Callithrix jacchus: one gene and its partner. The protein of the gene in region 2 purifies or fractionates together with the protein of the main gene of each other region. This does not show direct contact. Links are inferred from orthologs where the notes say so. Each region holds a gene or a part of one and is shown on either strand. Other genes may lie near its edges.

Region 1 (9,523 bases), on a different chromosome or scaffold from region 2:
ACCATAAGCAATAAACCATTCCAAGCCTTCCAGACAGTCTCCATAGCCGCACCAGCGTGGCAATAAGCCCTAACCAAACAAACAAAAGCACTTTGCAATTTGTTGCTGCAAATAGGGAGAGAAAAGAGTTGATAAGCTTGATGGAATCACAACAGTCAATATAATTTAAGGGAAAATAAAGTCAATAAGGTTGATGAAGTTTATTGTTTAGAAAGTCGAATTCTGCTGTTTGCTTGGGGCTCTGGACACAGTACCACTGACCAAATGGAACAATCCACAGAGTCCTGCTATCCACCAGCGGGGGTGCCGTCCAGACTCACGGCAAATAAATGGCACCAGGTGCTCACCATCCACCACAGGAGGGTGTTTTATTTTCATGGATGTGGATGAAATATAATTTCTTCAGCAGACTCAGCAAAAACTGTTCAGGGGCGAAACTGAACTCTGCACTTAGAGAAAACCAGAAAAATGAAAACACAAAATCCTAAAAAGTAAATAAACGCTCTGCATCAGCACACTGGTATCAAAACACACATCCACAGCACGTCCTAATCCTACGGTAAACAACCCTTGCTTATCAGAGGTGCATATCTAAATTCAATAGCTTACCAATATCTTCTTGGGAGTAGGCCAAAAGGAAACAGAAAACCCACATTAAAAAAAAAAGTTTCTTTTCCCTAAACGTTTTCCTGAAGCTGAATTTGAAGTGGGGAGGACGTCAGTCATCCTCGTCATTCTCATTGAAGTCATCGTCATCCTCGTCATCCTCCCCGACGTAGGACACTGGGGTCTCCACCCTGGAGCCACTGTACTGAGACCCGTTGGAGCTTGTGGCCAGCATCCCATCTGCACCGTTGGTCAGGTCACTGCAAGGCAGGAGGCGGATGAGGCAGTCAGTGCAGAGCAGTCCACTCGGCCTCCCCTCACCTCAGGGCCTGCGGCTGAAGGACAGGCTGCGCCGAACAGGTGTCAGTTTTGTCAGTCACACACACAGAACTGGGAGGTCATGAGTGTCTGCACTACAGCACGCCAGCACTCTGGCACTCACTCCATCCCCGTCTGGTTCTCCTCGGACCCTGTCTCCTGGAATCCACAATGCCAGAAATAGGAGGCTGAGCAGAGCCACAAGCTCCCTCTCCCTCACTCATCATTCCATCAGGAGCAGTGCCCAGAGGCAATGAACTGAAAAACTGTTAGATCCCTCCCTCCAGGACTTTCACTCATAACCAGCAACAGGAAAAAAAGAGAGCCTGGGGCAGGACAGGATGTAGTCCAGAGCACGGCTAGAATCTAGCAGCATGGACTGGGAACCCAGAGGGTTTGCAGCACCACAAAAACCTACCACTAATCACAGCTCACAATGTTCCAAGATTTAAAAATGTTTTCCAACTGCATAAAAATATATGCATATATTTTAATATATTTTAATAGTATTTATTAACTACAATGAAAATGAGTCAATATGCCTTTGATGAAGTGATTCTGTATCTTAGAAACACGTCAGAAATGGTGAGAAATTCAGCCGCAAAGCTGCTCACTGTAGTTTTCCTGATAACTGGGAACTGCCTAGATGTCCTTTCATGAGGTACTTTCATAAAATGTCCCATCATGCCACTTTGAAAATTGGTATTTCATAAGAAATGGTAGTAGCTTTGTTTCCATTGTTATGAAAAACTGACAAGTCTGAGAATCACATCCATGAAAAGGATTATCTGATGATGAAAGTCCTAAAAACACCCACATTTCACCTCATGGAAGAACCAGTGTTAAACATGTTTACAGACTGACCCCTACACATTCACACACAGCTGAAGAGAAAGAGAACCGGCCTCGGTCAAAACCTTGTTACCAGGCACTGTGACAAGTCCCTTCTTCTATCACCACTTCACTGATCCTTGCCACAGATCAACGACTCATCACCAGTCTCACCTTACAGGTGAGGCCAAGACTGGAAGAGACTGGCTTTGTAACCCCAGAGCTGGCCAGGAAGCTACATGCACCCCTGACACACTTGTCACATCTCACGGCCACAGCACATTCCAACACAGGCTCATGCGCACTGCAACTCACTACGTCGTGCCCTGTTATCTGGACCCACAGGTTACTAAGTTCTTAGATTTCCAATTAAAGATTTTATGAACACTTAGGATTAATATAAAGTAATACTACATATTGTATCACAATGCAATATAAAAGTCAATAAAATCTTTGTTTTGTTAATATCTGTTGTAAAAGCTATATTTCTCTTTGAAGCACCAAGATAAATACCTAGGGACATCATTCTACCCTATGGGATGGCAGGTCAAAGATTAAATACGAATTTATTTAAATAAAGGCCCTTTAATAGCACAGAAATAATATATATAAATACAATAAAATGTAAGGTGAAAATGCATGGAAGAAAACATGTGCGTTCTGACCACAGATGTGTTCTGAAAAGAAAGTGCACTGTGACCACAAACGTATTCTGAAAAATACATGCACTGTGACCACAAACATGTTCGGAAAATACGTGCGCTGTGACCACAGATGCATTCTGAAAAATATGTGCACTGTGACTGCTCTGAAAAATACGTGGACTGTAACTGCAGATGCGTTCTGAAAAATATGTGTGCTGTGATTACAGATGCGTTCTGAAAAATACATGCGCCATGACTACAAATGCGTTCTGAAATACAAATGCACTGTGACCGCAGACGTGTTCTGAAAAATAGGAGAAAAAAACTAGAAATACTTGCTGTTATTTGGGCTGCCCGGGACAGAAGGATTTGGGTGGTTTTCATTCCTACTTACTTTTTAGGTGATACTTTAACAAAAAAAAAAACAACCACCACGTATTACTTTTAGTTTTTAGTGAGGAGAAACCAACTAGGAAAAGCAGCTCTCCACACAGGGAAAGCCGGTGGGGCCACTGCCTGGGAAGACAAGCACGTCGGAGCAGCCTCAGACCTGATGGCCACATCTGAGACGTCCACCCTGCCTTGGCCCCTGGGCCCCACAGGAGGCCCAGACAATGCTTCTCCCACACCCTCAACCGCTGTCACCTGGCGGAGAACCTCGTGCCGTTAGATGTGGAACCTGCTGTCGTGATGAACACACCTCCAACAGTTCCCTGAGCCATTTCTGAAAAAGGAAAGAAAATGAAGCAAATGGTCACGAAACAGAAACAACACAAGACACACAGACAACCCGCAGTGCCGCAGGATGGACAGCTGGGGAAGCTTCCAGACATCCTTCACTTGTCCAGGATTTTCTGCACTGTGCCACAGAGGACATCCCGCTGTGCAGTCACATAGCCTGTCTTCCCTAAAAAGGCATGAACAGCCTTGCAATACCTGCACACACTGACTTACAAACAGCACATGTGTGCTGCTGTGTCAGTATCATACCCATCATGAAAGAGAATGATCAAGGAACAAGCTGAAACCCTCTTCCTACAGCCCATCCTGGCAGCTCCATGAAGCACACGACAGAGGGCGGGTCAGGGCCCAGCCCACATGGGCAGCCAGACCCCACTCTCAGCTGATGATATGGACCAGCCAGATTTTCACAAGATCTGGGATGGTTTAGGAGCTCAGGGAGGAATCTCTGACCCTCTCAGGGAGTAAGTCCACACCCAAAGTTTAGGCTGACAAGAAAAGGATTGGCAGATACAGCACCTTCACAATTTCTCACCTTAAAGCCACCCTATCTAGGCTGGGACCCTACGGCCCCACGGAAAGAATTCACCAGAATCAGAAAAAAGTCCCTTCAACAAAAGCTCCTGTGCTCCCGGCCCTCCAGAGCAGGCTGCCAATGATGCTGAAATGCTTTTTCTTGGTCACTTTGCCCTAGTGACCAATCAGCTACTGTCAGTGGGGGGAGGGAGGATCAGCAATCCAACTGCACTCCTCAAAGAATCTCAGCTTCTCCTATTTCTGGGCCTACTTGAAGGGTAAAATCCTGACTTAGCACCTCCTCACACAAGCCATATGGGAAATCCACATAAGCCTCCTGCAGACTCAAGGCCCTGTATCCAGCAAGTGAGGGCATTGGCTGGACCCCGCCCCAGCCGCAACCCCACACCCATGCCCCTCACAGCCCCTCTGTCATTGCTCCTGGCCCTCCGTACTTGGGCCCAATCTCGGCAAGACACACCCCGAGCCAGGAGGGGAGGGAGCTATCCAAGGCTGGGCCCATTCCTCACACCGGGTTATCTAGGAATGGAGTTATCTGGTTAGCCACATCGGGTTATCTGGGAACCGCTGACCTGTCACGTATGGCTCCAGAGCCTTTGGGACCAGACTTCTGGCCATTTTAAGGTCTTCGGCAGAGCAGCTCCCGGACTCCAGCCCGCACGCCATGCCCATCCGCTTTAGCACTTCTATGTCATCGTGGATTTCAAATGTGTTATCAAAATTAAACAGATATTCGAATCTGAAGGGGAAAGGCACAGTCAGAAAGACAGGGTCTCCCCGCAGAGGCAGTGCATGCTGGGGTAGAGCCAGGACAGCTGACCTGCTGCCCGCCACACACAGCCTTCAGGATCCCAGTCCTCGGCATCTCCTCACAGAATTTATAAACTCAGAAGTAAATGAGATAAGAAGCAAATCAAGGCCCATTCTCTCCAGGAGGACACGCCCTAAGGCACGCGCTCCTGGGACACAGACTTTCCACCAGCTGCCCGGCAGCTGCCTCCCGCCACCCCATGATGGACAGCTACCCCAGCAATTTGTGCAACATTTAAACTTGTCCTAGGGACAATCCCAACAGGGTCAGCTCCCTCAAAAAGACACGCACAGTCTGGAAACGTCTGCCTACCCACAACCTACTTGTCGTTGGAGATGCTACAGTCAATGACAGTCTTCTTGCTGGTGTTGACGATGATGAAGGGCAGGTGGATGACCGAGTTGGGTGGCGGCGGCCGGCTGGCCTGCTGCTCTGCATGCCGGTTTCTCTGCACCAGGTTCTTGAAGGCAATTTGCTAAATAAAGAGGAGCCAGGTGGCACATGGCGGCACAAGAACGCAGACCCTGTGCTCAAGGGGTCCTCACAGCCCTCCCTGTGCCCACACAACAGCGATGAGTTGCCTTGGACATTTGAAAGGCCAGCACCGGCCGCTAGGTGCTGACCCCTGCAACCCCTGGAGAAATGCAGTCAGGAAATGGCATCCTGAGGGGAGAACTGAGCGAGAGCAGGTGCACAGCCATCTGTGCCTGGGATAAAAGCATCCTCTGTGACAAGGGTGCTCAACTGAACACCAGTCTTGGAAGTCGATTCCCTGCTGTCCGTGAACTCTGAGACCACCCACACAGTGGCACCAATGGGGTGACAGCCTTGGAAGGGGTGCTGTGCTGAGGACTTTGCCCACTCCGGAAGGTGGAACACGAAAGGGCCCGTGTGCTGCAGAGGTGCTTCTCGGGGAGAATGGGCCCTGCAAGGCTGAACCTAGGGCCAGGCCGTCAGGGCCCCAAACCAAGTGTTCCACTTGGAAAGAGCTTCCCTGCTTTAATGTAGAGCCAGGAGAATCCCTTCCACTCCCGGCCACCTTGGATCTCACCCCGCTTGGCAGGCACTAGGACACTGGCAGGCAGAACCGTCCCTCCTGACAGTCCCCACAGCCCCCAAGGAGCTCCCACCCACGAGCCTCCATCACCACGGCCGCCACACCGTCCCCTCTGGGAGGGCTTAAGCATACCTCTGTTAGGGCAGCAGCCAGCTCTACAACGAGCACCTTGCATCCAACCCCCTCCACGCCAGACACGGAGCCCCCAGGGGTACCCCCTACCCTCAGCAATCAATGGGAGGTAGGGGAGGCCAGCTCCAGAGCCCTGACCAGCACTGTCAAGACCCAGGTGCGCAGTGCCCACCACAGTTTTGGAGGCCTCGCCTGGGCCTGGGCCTTGGGTTAAGCACCTCTGAGGGGATTTTCCAAATGTTGCTTTTGCATGAAGTCATCCCTCCAACTGTGTTTTGCCTGTTTAGACACTGTGACACGGGATACGCACATATACACACATGCATACATGCACATATGCACACACACGTACAGGCACATGTACACAGGCACACACGCAGGCAGACACAGGCACAGACGCATGCATATGCACAACCTCGCTCTGGGAACCAGGCCCACGTTGCCACACCCATGAGATGAACTCAAGGATGTTCATGAAATTTACATTCAGAATCTTAAAGCAGTCATTTGATTTACCACACAGGAGTGTAACCCAAGCTGGTACACTGCTGTTATAAAACTAAGTGAGTAAAATAAAAATTACCCACCTCCAAAGTATTCTCTTACCTGTAGAATAAGTTCTTGAAGTTGAGACTGTTTCTGTTTTATTCTTTCAAGTCTCCTCTGTCTTTCCACCTTCAAAAACAAACCACCCAAGCAGAGAATCATCACAATTGTTCCCTACAGCGTTTAAAATAAAACCCATATCCTCGCAGTGTTACCTATGTTTACCTTGAATTTAATCGAAGGGATATGGACAAATCTAGACATAGCAGGTGCTACGAGATACAGGTGAGTTTTTCTTTGATTGTAAACTATACCTTCTCCCCTCTCATTTCTTGGATTTAACTATGTTATCTAAAAGGAAAAAAAAAATCCTCCAAACAAGGATTCAGAATTAACCTACAGTCGAGTTTAACACACTCTAGTGGGCCTGGGCCAGCCACGCTCCCTCCCAACAGCCGAGACTGAGAAACGCAGGGAGACATCTGTCTACATGACCGTCTGCCAGCCAGACACAAAGAGCACAAGCACACGGAGCCCAGACCCGACTGAGTGACCAATGACAAAAACATCTACACAGACCAGAAGGGAAATGAAGGCTGAAGGGCACCTCTAAGTTCTGACATTCCTGAGCCGAGTTGGTGGGCAGACCAATCCACTTGATCTCCTTCTTCTCCTTGGAGATGATGTTCATAGCCATCAGCACGTTTAAGGCATCGTAGACGCGCCGTCTTATGTTCTTCTGGTCATAAGCCTGGGGATGACAGGGAGTGGTTTCCAAATGATCCAAAAGAGCCTGTGGATCCCACCTGAAACTGTAGGCCATGTGCACTGGCTCAAAGGGGCACCCCGCTCATGGAGCTGTCACCGCAACATGTCCTCGGGGAGTGCTCCCACCCTACAGATGATGCAGGCCGAGACAGGGCTGTGCGAAGCCCGAGTGTGTGCCAGGACGGGAGCTGGGGTCTGTCGAGGGTGGAACCCAGCGGGTGAGGAAGGCGTTACTGCATTTCTGGGCAGGGGAAGCTGGTGGAAGAGCAGAATCAGCCCACCTGCTCACTCACTGGAGATGACACAGCATCCTGCCAGCAAATGGGGTGGGAAAAATTCTTTCATGTTGTACTTGGAATTTTCTGCATGTTTTTAACTGTTCCCAATTTTAAAAGGGTGAAACATGCCACACTGTCGGGTTCGGCTACTCAGCCTCTCGAGCCCCCAGCACACACTTACTGACTCGTTTGGTAAGATGTGGTTGTCAGCAGCGCTGAACTCTGCAACCAGCTCGTCCGCCACTTCGTTGTAGGATGTGGTCCCTTTCCTCTGCACCTTCTCGCAGACCTTCATGGAGAAATGCCGCAGGCCCTTGCCATTCTTCTCTCCTTTCCTGTTGCGCTTCCTTCAAAATACAAAGGAAAAAAGAAGCGACCGTCAGCACTCTTGAGCATCAGCAGAATCGAGGAATGCTTGTACCTGAGAGCTCCAATGAGCTGCACAAAAGGGGGCCACGTCCCACAGGTGCAGCAGATCCAACACGTGAGCAGGCCAGGACCCCCAGCCGAGCCCCCAGGCCCAGTGCTTCTGCAGGTCAGAAGGTGAGTGTCTCCCCGGCAGGCTGCACCTCCATCCTTCGAAGTGTCGGGAAAAACAGGAGGCGTTCCCAGGGCCTGAATCAGTGTGTGGGAGGCATGTCAGTACACCAAGCACCACTTTTCTAAAGAGGGCAACTGGCAACAGGAACGATGGGACGTCTCGGTGTAAATTGGGGAATTTTTAGGACAAATTTCAGCAGGCTATAATCTCATACAGCTGTGATGGCCGCCTGACAACAGGTGCAAACTACTAAGTGTGCTTCAGGTCAGGGGACAACCCAACTGCGTACACTCTGGTCAGTCCCCACATCGAAGGAAAGGCCTCTCAAGGTTTGGTTCCTAACTGGTGAAGCTTTAGGCGCTGAGACAGGCATACTTTTGTAGCCGCGTGTGTTTGTGTGTGTGTGTGTGTGTGTGTGTGTGTGTTGTGTGTTTTAAGGAAAGACAGAGCTCGTCAGATTTTGCTTTAGTGGAAGGAGCAGCTCTGGTGGGACCACCCGCGGGGGCCATAACTCCCGGGGCCGTAGAGGCTGAATTCAGAGTCAGAGGCTGAAATCCGTCCCATGTGCTCCCAGCGCAGACGAGGAAAAGTCTCAAGTCCTGCAGCGAGAACAAGGCCAGCTTCTACCTGTCTTGGTCAAGAGCTGCCAGCCCCTCAAAGAGCACCCACTCACTATACCAGACACCAAGTGGGGTGGGCGGTGCCCAGCCTGACTTCTCTATGACCAAGGCAGTGCGCCTTGGCCGCACACCTGTGCAGGGCAGGATGATGGGTGGGTATGATTCGGAGGCTGACATCAATGCGCGTGGGAGCCCCATCGCACAACTATGTGACACGCGTGGCCCAGGAGAACGTGGAGCTGCGAACCGCAAGCAATCCTACAACTCTAAGGGTCCAGAGGGAAGTGCTCACCCGGCAGACCAAGGTGAGGAGTCGGAAGGCTGGTTCTGAGAGGCAAAGTGAGTGCTGGGGGTGTGTGGGCTTCCTACCACGAGGGTGTTTGATGCTGCTGGTCTCTGAGGCGTACCAATTACCTACAGTCAAAAAAGACAATTCAGTCAGTCAGTCCCCTCCCACACGGCGAGGGTGCCACGCCCACCATCTGCTCGCCATCCGCAGCCACTGCTGAATTCCATTAACCGCAGTGAGCAGGAAAGACGCCCGGGGGTGGGCGCATCCTACACAGTGACGGCACCACCACGCCTGTTCTGAACATGGCTCACCTTCCTCTCATCAGCCACAGGCATCTTCTCCAATTAGACACAAGCAACAAGTAACTTTGGATGACCCAAGCAAGCCAAGAACAGGACAGGGCAGAGCGTGACCCCCAAACCACACACAAAGGGCTAACGGTGGAGGTGAACAAGGGGGCGGATCAGATTTCCATACAGGGCCCCTCGGCACGTTTCTATTTTTCCCTTCACCCTCTTTTACTTCTTTTTAATGATATGGATGAGGATGAAACTGTACCCTTCCACGGTACTAAAAAGAGGCCTGAAACCAAAAACTGCTCTCAAAAGACAAAAGCACAGACAAAGTGACAGCAGCTGCTCCCCCAGCCAGCAGGGTGACAGCCACATGGTGAAAACCATCGTATGGTCACGACCAGGTAGCCAGGGTTACCTGGTAACCCTGCGCCCTGGAGCCCTGTCAGGGGGAGCCCACACCCACAACAGCATGAGGCAAGAAGGGAGGGTGACCAGCACTGAGAGC
Region 2 (9,623 bases):
CACTGCCCGGACTTTCGGCGCCCGGACGCCTCTTTGACCAGCGCTTCGGCGAGGGGCTGCTGGAGGCCGAACTGGCTGCGCTCTGCCCCACCACGCTCGCCCCCTACTACCTGCGCGCACCCAGCGTGGCGCTGCCGGTTGCCCAGGTGCCAGGCCTGGGGAGGGGCGAACTCAAGCAATGCCGGGGGGTCTGGGTCAGCCTGGGGTGGGGGGCGTGTGACAGAATGTTCGTTGGCCTTGGCGGGGTGGAGAGTCCGGCAGCTCCGAGGGGCTTCCGGAGTTCCTGGGAATCTCAGAGGCCCGCTCACTGCATCGAGTGGGAGGTCCCAGTCGCTCTTGGGTGTGTGTGTGTCGGGGGACTGGGGAGTCTCATTAGCTCTCCAGGGAGTGGAAGGCCTGGGTCGCTCTAAGGGGAGTTTTGCTGAATCTGAAGGAGGCTGGTGACCCGGGAAATCTGGGTAAAAGGAGGCGTTAAAGGTTGCCCGAGGGGAAGGAATGTTCCTAGTCTCGGGGAAGAGTTGGGAGACTTCATGCAGTGGCTCCATGTCTCCAAAACAGGAAGGGAAAGGCCTGAGACTTGAGCAAGGGGTCCTGGCCACTCTGAAGTGGGGGAAGGCTACCAGTCGCTGCCGAGGTCCCTTGACCGGAGTGGGAAAGTAGGCAGAGGATTCTGGAGACGGGGGAAGGGGCATCTTGGCGAGTTTGTCGGGGCTGGGGGAGAAGGGACCCGGGGCTCTGAAGAGGGAGCCGGGGAATCAGTGCCCTGGGGTGCATGGTGGTGACTTCGGAGGATTCCCTGACACCGGGGAGGGCGGAGGTTCCTGACCTTGCAGGGGAAGGGAGCCTCATCACTGCGGGGGAGAGCGCAATCCCAGATATTACAGGAGGAGGGCTAATCCCCGTTATTCGGGGTGAAGAGGTCCTGGGTGATTCCCAGTAGGAGAGCAGATTGCTGAGCTCGGGAGGCCAGAGTGAGCTGCAGCACGGAACCGATGGGGTGGGGTTTCCCTGGGTGGGTCCCGCGAGCCTGGCATGGCCCGATGACAGTCCCACCCGCGCTCACTGCGCGCAGGTGCCGACAGACCCCGGACATTTCTCGGTGCTGCTAGACGTGAAGCACTTCTCGCCGGAGGAAATCGCTGTCAAGGTGGTGGGCGAACACGTGGAGGTGCACGCGCGCCACGAGGAGCGCCCGGTGAGCCGCGGCGGGGGCGGGGCTAGAGCGGGCACGCGCGCCGCCGGGCCGGAGGGGCGGGGCCGCTCAAGCCTCCTTCCCCTCCAGGATGAGCACGGATTCGTCTCGCGGGAGTTCCACCGCCGCTACCGCCTGCCTCCTGGCGTGGATCCCGCTGCCGTGACGTCCGCGCTGTCCCCCGAGGGCGTCCTGTCCATCCAGGCCGCACCAGCGTCGGCCCAGGCCCCACTACCGCCACCGGCCGCCGCCAAGTAGGGGGCGGGGCCACGCCCGCACCCCGGGAGCCTCCTCAGGCTCCGTCTTTTAAAGCTGATCTGACTCCGCCCAGCCAGATGTCCTGATCGCGCCCAGAACTGTCCTCTCAGCCACTCCTGGATTCTGCCCTGACCTCCACCCTAGACACTGCCTTGATAACCTAGCCCCTTCCTCTGACACCCTCACTGTCACACCTCCTCCAGCTTTCAGACTTCACACCAACACCTCCCTGGCTTCCAGACCCTACCAGCACTCCCCTAACCCTCGGCCGACAGTCTCAGCCCCACCGACCCACTTTCTTGGCATATAGCCCCACGGTTCTACTTCCTTCTGAGTATTCTACAAAGATATCCGGGTACCATATTTCCATCCCTTCCCTACTTTGACACCAAATTATGGTGTAGACAGCCCTCCCCCAACCCCAGGACAGTCAGGCACAATGCCTCCACGCCACAAATGTTCCACACTGCACAGACCTCCCGCTCCAGATCATCCGGGCCTGGTTCCCAAGACCCAAACCTTCCCTTGCAACCAGACAATCCACAACTGGCCCCTCCAGCCCATTTTCTGCCATAAAACTCCAGCCAGCCACACCAGGCTCTGGAACTCTTTTCTGACCGCCCCAACTCTTGGACACCTATTCCAGGCCAACCAGAACATCCAATCCCAAATTGTACAGACTCTCCTGCCCCAACCTTCCCAGACTCTGCATGGATGTCCTAGGCCCCCTCCCCAACTCTGACTAGACCCCCCACCCCATCCCTTTGTCTTGATCCCCAAGTCTCCAACACGAAATCTCCTTGGCAACCCACCTCCCATCCACCTCTTCTCCTTCAAGACCCAACCGAGCACCCCCTCTGATTCCCCATAGCCTTTCTCCCTGCCACGACTCTGTCACTTTCCCAGGCTCACTGTCCCAATAAATTTGCTGGAGCTCTGCCAACTGCTTTGTGTCTGGGCCAGGAAGGATGAACTGGAACAGACACCAGTGTGGAGTTGGGAGATGTTTACTGGGGTGGGGGGAGCTGGGAAAGTCACTGTCGCTCATACATCTCCCGTAGGATCTTCATGCTTTCTGAGTAACGAAGCTGGTTCCGATGAGAGGCCTCCTTCCACCTGGGGAGGCAGAGGGAAGACTCAGCAGTTGCAAGAGGCCCGAGGAGGCGCAAGCAGGCTGGGGGACGCTCACCTCTGGCGGATGCGTTTCCAACGCTGCATGTTGCGATAGATGAGTGTGGAGGGTGAGGGCTCAGGCTCGGAGGGCTGCATGGACAGAGGCAGGGCTGAGTGGTCAGGTCTGAGCCCCACCACATGTGCCCCACAACCTCGAGCCAGCCTGGTGCACTTACCTCGTCATCAGGGGTGCCCTGCATCTCGGGCTGCAGCGGAGATGGGATGCGGGATCTACAGGCATCTCCAGGTGGCCCGGGTGGTGTGGGTGGTGGCAGCTTGTACACATCACGATTCTTGCTGTTGGTGACCTCTGAACCCTGGGGACACAAGGGCCCCAAGCCAGGCCCAAGAGAGTCAGACCAGAGGGCTGGGAATCCACACTCATCCCTCCTTTCCCAGCAACAAACAGCATGAGGGGCACACTAAGTGACTCAGACAGGAGGCATGTCTGAAGGGCAGACACCTCAACTAACCAGGGAGTCAGGTCTGCCTGCCCGGGGACCCCTGTCTTCTCCTATCCAGCCCAGAGATCCCATCTACACCTGTCAGCCCAGGGAGTCACGTCTGCCTGCCTCAGGGAATCCTGCCTAGGGGGTCACATCTGTGCCATCTAGGAAGTTCTGTCCACTCTTGACAGTGTGAAGGGCCCTAATATGTCTGTCCTCGGGACCCTTGTCTACCCTCCTGGGCTAGATGGCTTACAGACCCCCATCCATTCCTGCCCAGCCCATCTGCTCCCCAAGGCCTGGTGGCCACAGGTCGGTACTAAGGACCCGTCTAGACCCTCGGCTCTTGGGAACGCCTGACCTTGGAGATTCATATCTAACTACCCAGGGCAACCCTGTTCCCTGTCCCCCAGGCCAGGTGGCTACGTATGTCTTCCCTAGGGACCTCCATCCACACCCCAGGCTAAGGGTGCACATCTGTATGCCTGGCCTGATCCAGCATTCATGTGAGGGACCTGTGTCCATCTACCCCACTAGGTTACGGGGAGGATCCTTTGTGCCTATCCACCCATTGCCCTGGCATCAGGCTGCTGGGCTGGGGCCCACCACCCATCCCACCTCCTCATCCTCAGGCAACGGGGGCAGGGGTGAGCTGGGAGAGCATTCACGCTCGCGCACAGAAGGGCTGTTTCGCATCCAGGCACGGCAGATCGGGTAGAGCGGCGTGTTCTCACTGAACTGGGCCAAGTCCACACTCCGATCGAACAGCTTGATCACATACGTGTCTGGGAGGGTGGGGATGGGAGGTGTGTGAGCATCCTTGCATAGCCCCTCAGCTCCTTGCCTACCCTCTCGGGCCAGTCGACTCACTGGATCGCTGTGGCCCTCCCTCAGCCAGCCCGTCATCCATTTCCCTCCTCTTCTTCCTCCGCTGGTGGGGGAAGCGGGCAGAAGGCCTGCGTAGGGAGGGGGGAGTGTCAGGACTGGGGTAGGGGCTGGGAGCCTCTGGTCAGCTGGTTGGGACCCTGTCACCTTACCTTTTGCCAGTGGATGCAATGGAGCAGTCCCTGTGGGGAAAGAAAGTTGACCCTCAGACAAATGCCTGTGCAAAACCCTGCAGAGGGCACCCTGGGGACGCTGGTATCAAACCTGAGATATGCACATGAACCCCACCTGCCCCTTGGGCCTTTTATTCCACCCATACCCATGGGGGTCTAGGTGGCAACCACGAGGGGACCTAAGCTTCTCCTGACGCAGGGTCTTCATACAGGTGAACTGGTCAGGACCGAGATGGAGGAAGCACTGGGCAGAGTGGTCAGGGCTTGGGTAAGGGAAAAAGTTACCAACTACAAACTCTCAGCTCCACATCCAGTCAGAAAAACTCACTTATTGTGGGTGTCTGAGGGGGTTTTCCCAGCTTCCTCATCCAGACGCTCCCTAGAGGCAGAAAAGATCTCTCAGCCTAGGGTTCCAGGGCCCCAGAGAAGGAAGGCACTGAGCGGCCTCTCCATTAGATACCTTCCTCCCCAAGTCAGCCTCTGGGGTCCCACCCAATCCACCCAGGATCAGAGGGCCGACCTGCCAGGGTGCCTGGGCCTTGACCCCACGCTGGCCCACCTGTCCATGTGACTCTTCTCCAGCAGACACTGCAGGACGGCGTCCAGTTGGTTCCGGGCTTTGGCCATCTCCAGCTCTGAGGCAAGAGGGGACCCAGCAGGAGTCAGCTCCTAGGCCCCAGCTAGGTGGGCAGCTGACTGGGCCAGGGAAAGGCATGAGTGTCCTCTGCCCCAGCCAATCTCAGAGCCAGGCCCAGGCAGCCTGAAAGGGTGCAGCAGACAGAGATGGCTGGAGTGATGCCAAGAGCTCTTAGTTCCAGAGCTGTCACACATGATCACTCTGTGATAGGAGGTAAGGCCAATCACCTTAGCTTAGGAGCCTTGGGTTTTAAAAAAATTTGTTTTAGGGCTGGGCATGGTGGCTTATGCCTGTAATCCCAGCACTTTGGAAGGATGAGGTGGGTGAATCACCTTGAGGTCAGCAGTTCGAGACCAGCCTGACCAAAATGGAAAAACCTCATCTCTACTAAAAATACAAAATTAGCTGGGCGTGTTGGCATATGCCTGTAATTCCAGCTACTCGGGAGGCTGAGGCAGGAGAATTGGTTGAAGCCAGGAGGCGGAGGTTGCGGTGAGCCAAGATCACGCCATTGCACTCCAGCCTAGGCAATAAGAGCAAAACTCGGTCTAAAAAAAAATTTTTTTTGTTTTAATGTAATATAAATTTATAACAAAAACAATTGCAAAGAGATGGAATCTCACGATGTTGATCAGGCTGGTCTCCAACTCCTGACCTTGTGATCCGCCTGTCTCTGCCTCCCAAAGTGCTGGGATTACAGGTGTGAGCCACCATGCCTGGCCAAACAGTGGTATAATTTTAAATCTGAATTAAATCTGAATGAGCTGACATTTAAAAATTGGGAGATTTCACCTAAAACATCCTGTTTGGGCTTTTCTTTCCCCACTCAGGAAATGAGATCTAGGCCCACCTTCCTGCCCTGTCAGCCTGTGGCTACCTCCTGTCATCACAGAACTTGAGGAAGTGATGATGTTACAATCTTCTACCTTTGAGGGGTATTTGCTCTGCCCTTCTTACTGGTGGGAGCTCTGGCTCTAGTGCTCAGAACCTGGAGGGGACACCTGGGAAATTGCCTGGCCAGTCCTGGGACTTCTTGAGATGCCCAGGGATTCAGACACAGGGCATTCAGACATAACTCAGAGGAGAAACAGCATGAGGGTGGGGAAGGGGGCAACTGAGATTGTAGCAAAGCCTTGGGTGGATGCAGAGGGTAGAGATCACCCCTACAACTCTCCCCAGGCCCAGCTTCTCTCCTGAACCCCCGACCTGGGCCTGAAGCCTCTGTCTCAAGGGTGGCCTCACTGTCCCCAAGTCCCTCCCTGTACCTCACCATGGATACCCCTCTCCCTCCCCTACCTCAGCCCAGCAACCTCATGGCCTGTCCACTCGGCCTCCCCAGTGTCTCTCCCACCCACCTCCTCCCTATTCTACACATCCTGGTCCTGTCCTTTGCTCCCCCTGGGCTCCCTGCCTCAGTTTCCCTTCTGATCCACCCTTCACAGGTGGCCAGGGGAATCTTCCTGAAAAATAACAAACCTGACCCTGATCCTCCCCTGCTTGGAAACTTCCATAACTCCATAGCACCCACGGGTGGAGTCTGCACTTCTCAGACTGGTACTCACAGGTGTATACCTTCCCTCACCATCATTTGTAGTCAGACTCCCTTCACTTTTCTTTCTTTTTTTTTTGAGACAGGGTCTCACTCTGTTACCCAGGCTGGAGTGCCATGGCGTGATCTCAGTTCACTGGGGGAGTGCAATGGTGTGATCTCAGTCCACTACAACCTGCGCCTCCCTGGCTCCAGCGATCCTCCTGCCTCAGCCTCCTGAGTAGCTGAGACTACAGGCTCATGCCACCACACCTGGCATTTTTTTTTTTTTTTTGCTCTTTTTTTTAAAAAATTCATGTTGAAATCCTTTTTCTTTTTTTTTTTTAATAGAGACAGCATTTTGCTATGTTGGCCAGGCTGGTCTCAAACTCCTAACCTCAAGTGATCTCCAGGCCTTGGGCTCCCAAAGTGATGGGATTACAGGCACAAGCCATAGCACCCGGCCTCCCACTTTGTTTTGATAACACTTTTGCTATCTGACATCCTACATCATTGTACTATTATTACCTTTGTGTCTAAATTCTGTACCCCTCCCACTGCTCTCACCATGCCAGGCCTGGGATCCCGTCAGCTCTGGCCCAACCCAAAATGACCTCTTTCTGAGCTTCAGTTTCCACATCGACCACAATTCCTACTTCCTAGGATTACTGGAATATAGTGACTGTGAGGATGAACAGTGCCTATACTTCAGACGCACAGCAAAATGTGTGACTCTGACCACTGCTGGAAATGGGGAAACCGAGGGGGAGCCAAGAAAAGCGGATTTTTCGGCCGAGCGCGGAGGCTCACGCCTGTAATCCCAACACTTTGGGAGGCTGAGACGGGAGGATCGCTTGAGGCCAGTGTTAGAGACCAGCCTGGGAAACATGGCGATCCTTCATCTCTACTTAAATATTTTAAAATGTTAAATAAAAAAGAGGAAAGAAAGGGCCCTTCTCAGAGTTACCGGCTCAGGATTCCCCAGGTCTTACCACGCACCGCACTGCCTGAGCCACCATCATTCAATCTCAAGGCGACTTCAAGCACAGACCCAGCGGGGATGAGGGTGGTAGGCAACGCTCGCTGCCTGATACAGCGATTGTCAGGTGGCTGCAGGGAGAAGTCGCGTAGTCCCATTTCCTCAATACTCCCTTCTACGGGACTCCCACACTGTCAACCCGATGCTCCCGACAGGCCCCCGAAATTGGGGTCCTCACCTGATTTCTCCACTTTCACCTTCACGGGGAACATGGTTTGGGTCCGGGATCTGGCTAGCTGGGTCAGACGAGCCCCAAAGGGCCTAGGATCACAAATCAAGGCGGGAGGCGGGCGGAGACAGTTCAAAGATTAGCTTCATGGGCGACGGGTCCTCCGCCTTCGGTCGTGTACTGCTTGTATCGTGGCCTGCTCCCTTCTGTGGACGGGCCCCTTCGGCAGTATCTCTTTTCTATTAGTTAATGCAGCCGTCAGTCTCATATCCTGACCAATTAAGAGCTTCCTCCGTAGGCCACCAGCTTTAGATCCCACCTTCCTGGGGCTTTGCTGCCGGAAACAAACCATCGACCGCCCAGCTTCCTGGGAGGTGTAGTTTCAGCTCCCGAGATTCACCCCGAGTAACAGCGCCTGCGCCGCGCGGGGCACGGTGGGAAAGAAAGGATTAAGGCATCGCGAGGCTTTCTGGGATTTGTAGTGTTAGAAGATTTCGGCTACACCGATTTAGTTCCATACCGGATTTAACCAAGGATTTAACCAACCGTTGGCGTCTCTCCATTCCTAAGAGGAAGACTAATGTAAAATAACGTTGGGTTCCCTCTCACTGAGCACTCCCTAGGTGCCAGGTAACTGCTAGTCTCCTTGCAGGTACAACTTCATTCATTTTGCAAATATTTGTGTTCCGGGCACTCTTCTATGCATTGGAGACACCTCGAGGAACAGAACAGACAAAAATCCCTGCCGTACTGGAGCTTATCTTTTAAAGTATGGAAGAGAAACGGTAAACAAGTAAAATATTTTAAGTGAAATGTAATAGGAGAAAGAATATAGGTTGGGCAGGGCACGGTGGCTCACGCCTGTAAATCACTTTGGGAGGCCGAGGCTGGCAGATCACCTGCAACCAGGAGTTCGAGACCAGCCTGGCCAACATGGTGAAACCCGTCTCTACTAAAAATGCAAAAATTAGCCGGGTGTGGTGGCACGCTCCTGTAATCCCAGCTACCCGGGAGGTTGAGGCAAAAGAATTGCTTGAACCGGGGAGATGAAGGTTGCCTTGAGCCTAGATCGCGCCTCTGCACTCCAGCCTAGGCGACAGAGCAAGTCTCCATCTAGAAAAACAAAAACAAACAGGCTGGGTGTGGTGGCTCAAGCCTGTAATCCCAGCACTTTGGGAGGCCAAGGTGGGTGGATCACCTTGAGGTCAGGAGTTTGAGACCAGCCTGGCCAACATGGTGAAACCCCATCTCATAAAAAAAAAAAAAAAAAAAAAAACCCTAGCGACCCCACCCCCCATACACACAAAACAGCATAGCCTGAAAGGGATGTAACAATATCAAGGTGGTGATTGAATTTTGAATTAGATGGATGGCCAAGTAGCGGGGCATGGTGGCGCATGCCTGTAATCCCAGTTACTCGGGAGGCTGAGGCAGGAGGATTACTTGAATCCGGGAGGTGGAGGCTGCAGTGAGGTGAGATCTCACCACTGCACTCCAGCCTGGTCAACACAGTGAGATTCCGCCTCAAAAAAACAAACCAACAACAAAAAAAGATGGATGGCCAAGGAAGGATTCCATGTGAAAGCTCTTGACTACTTTTATTTTTACAGACAACACTTCCTTCAGAAAATGGGAAACTTCTATTTATCACACGTCTTGGCCCAGATAAATCCTAGGAGGTAGATTCCTGATCTACACTTTTGATAAGAATACTGAAGCCCAGAGTAGGAAAGTTATGCTTTTGAATTCACGACTACCAGTACAGGATAACAGCCCCTAGAAATGGAAACACTAAACTGGGCGTGGGGGCTCACACCTGTAATCCCAGCACTTTAGGAGGTCGAGGTGGGTGGATCACCGGGTCAGGAGTTTGAGACCAGCCTGACTAACATAGTGAAACCCCATCTCTACTAAAAATACAAAAAATTAGCTGGATGTGGTGGCGTGTACCTGTAATCCCAACTACTCGCCCGGCTGAGGTAGGAGAATTGCTTGAACCTGGGAGGTGGAGGTTGCAGTGAGCCAAGATTGAGCCATTGCACTCCAGCCTGGGTAACAGGCACCTAACTCCATCTCCAAAAAAAAGAAAAGAAATGGAAGCACTCTTTACTTCCTCATCTAAT

What was found.
Region 1: the proteins of LIN37 (region 2) and TFDP1 purify together in Homo sapiens (co-immunoprecipitation; 3 studies listed by BioGRID and IntAct, with this or other methods). This does not show direct contact. The link is inferred for Callithrix jacchus from reciprocal best matches to the Homo sapiens genes LIN37 and TFDP1.

Annotation. Positions count from the first base shown.
Region 1 is NC_133502.1:29,102,269-29,111,791, reverse strand, and holds part of TFDP1 (transcription factor Dp-1), read right to left. Parts: intron 8,845-9,523; coding exon 8,723-8,844; intron 7,617-8,722; coding exon 7,451-7,616; intron 6,975-7,450; coding exon 6,831-6,974; intron 6,353-6,830; coding exon 6,284-6,352; intron 4,964-6,283; coding exon 4,812-4,963; intron 4,417-4,811; coding exon 4,250-4,416; intron 3,124-4,249; coding exon 3,045-3,123; intron 867-3,044; coding exon 719-866; 3' UTR 1-718. UniProt on the Homo sapiens protein: Can stimulate E2F-dependent transcription.
Region 2 is NC_133523.1:31,931,434-31,941,056, reverse strand, and holds LIN37 (protein lin-37 homolog), read right to left. Parts: upstream 7,715-9,623; 5' UTR 7,544-7,714; coding exon 7,510-7,543; intron 7,403-7,509; exon of another isoform or gene 7,315-7,402; coding exon of another isoform or gene 7,285-7,314; intron 4,763-7,284; coding exon 4,687-4,762; intron 4,507-4,686; coding exon 4,456-4,506; intron 4,137-4,455; coding exon 4,107-4,136; intron 4,026-4,106; coding exon 3,940-4,025; intron 3,855-3,939; coding exon 3,688-3,854; intron 2,941-3,687; coding exon 2,800-2,940; intron 2,714-2,799; coding exon 2,640-2,713; intron 2,567-2,639; coding exon 2,485-2,566; 3' UTR 2,442-2,484; downstream 1-2,441. Other genes in the region: HSPB6 (heat shock protein beta-6), read left to right, coding at 1-146, 1,073-1,195, 1,283-1,450.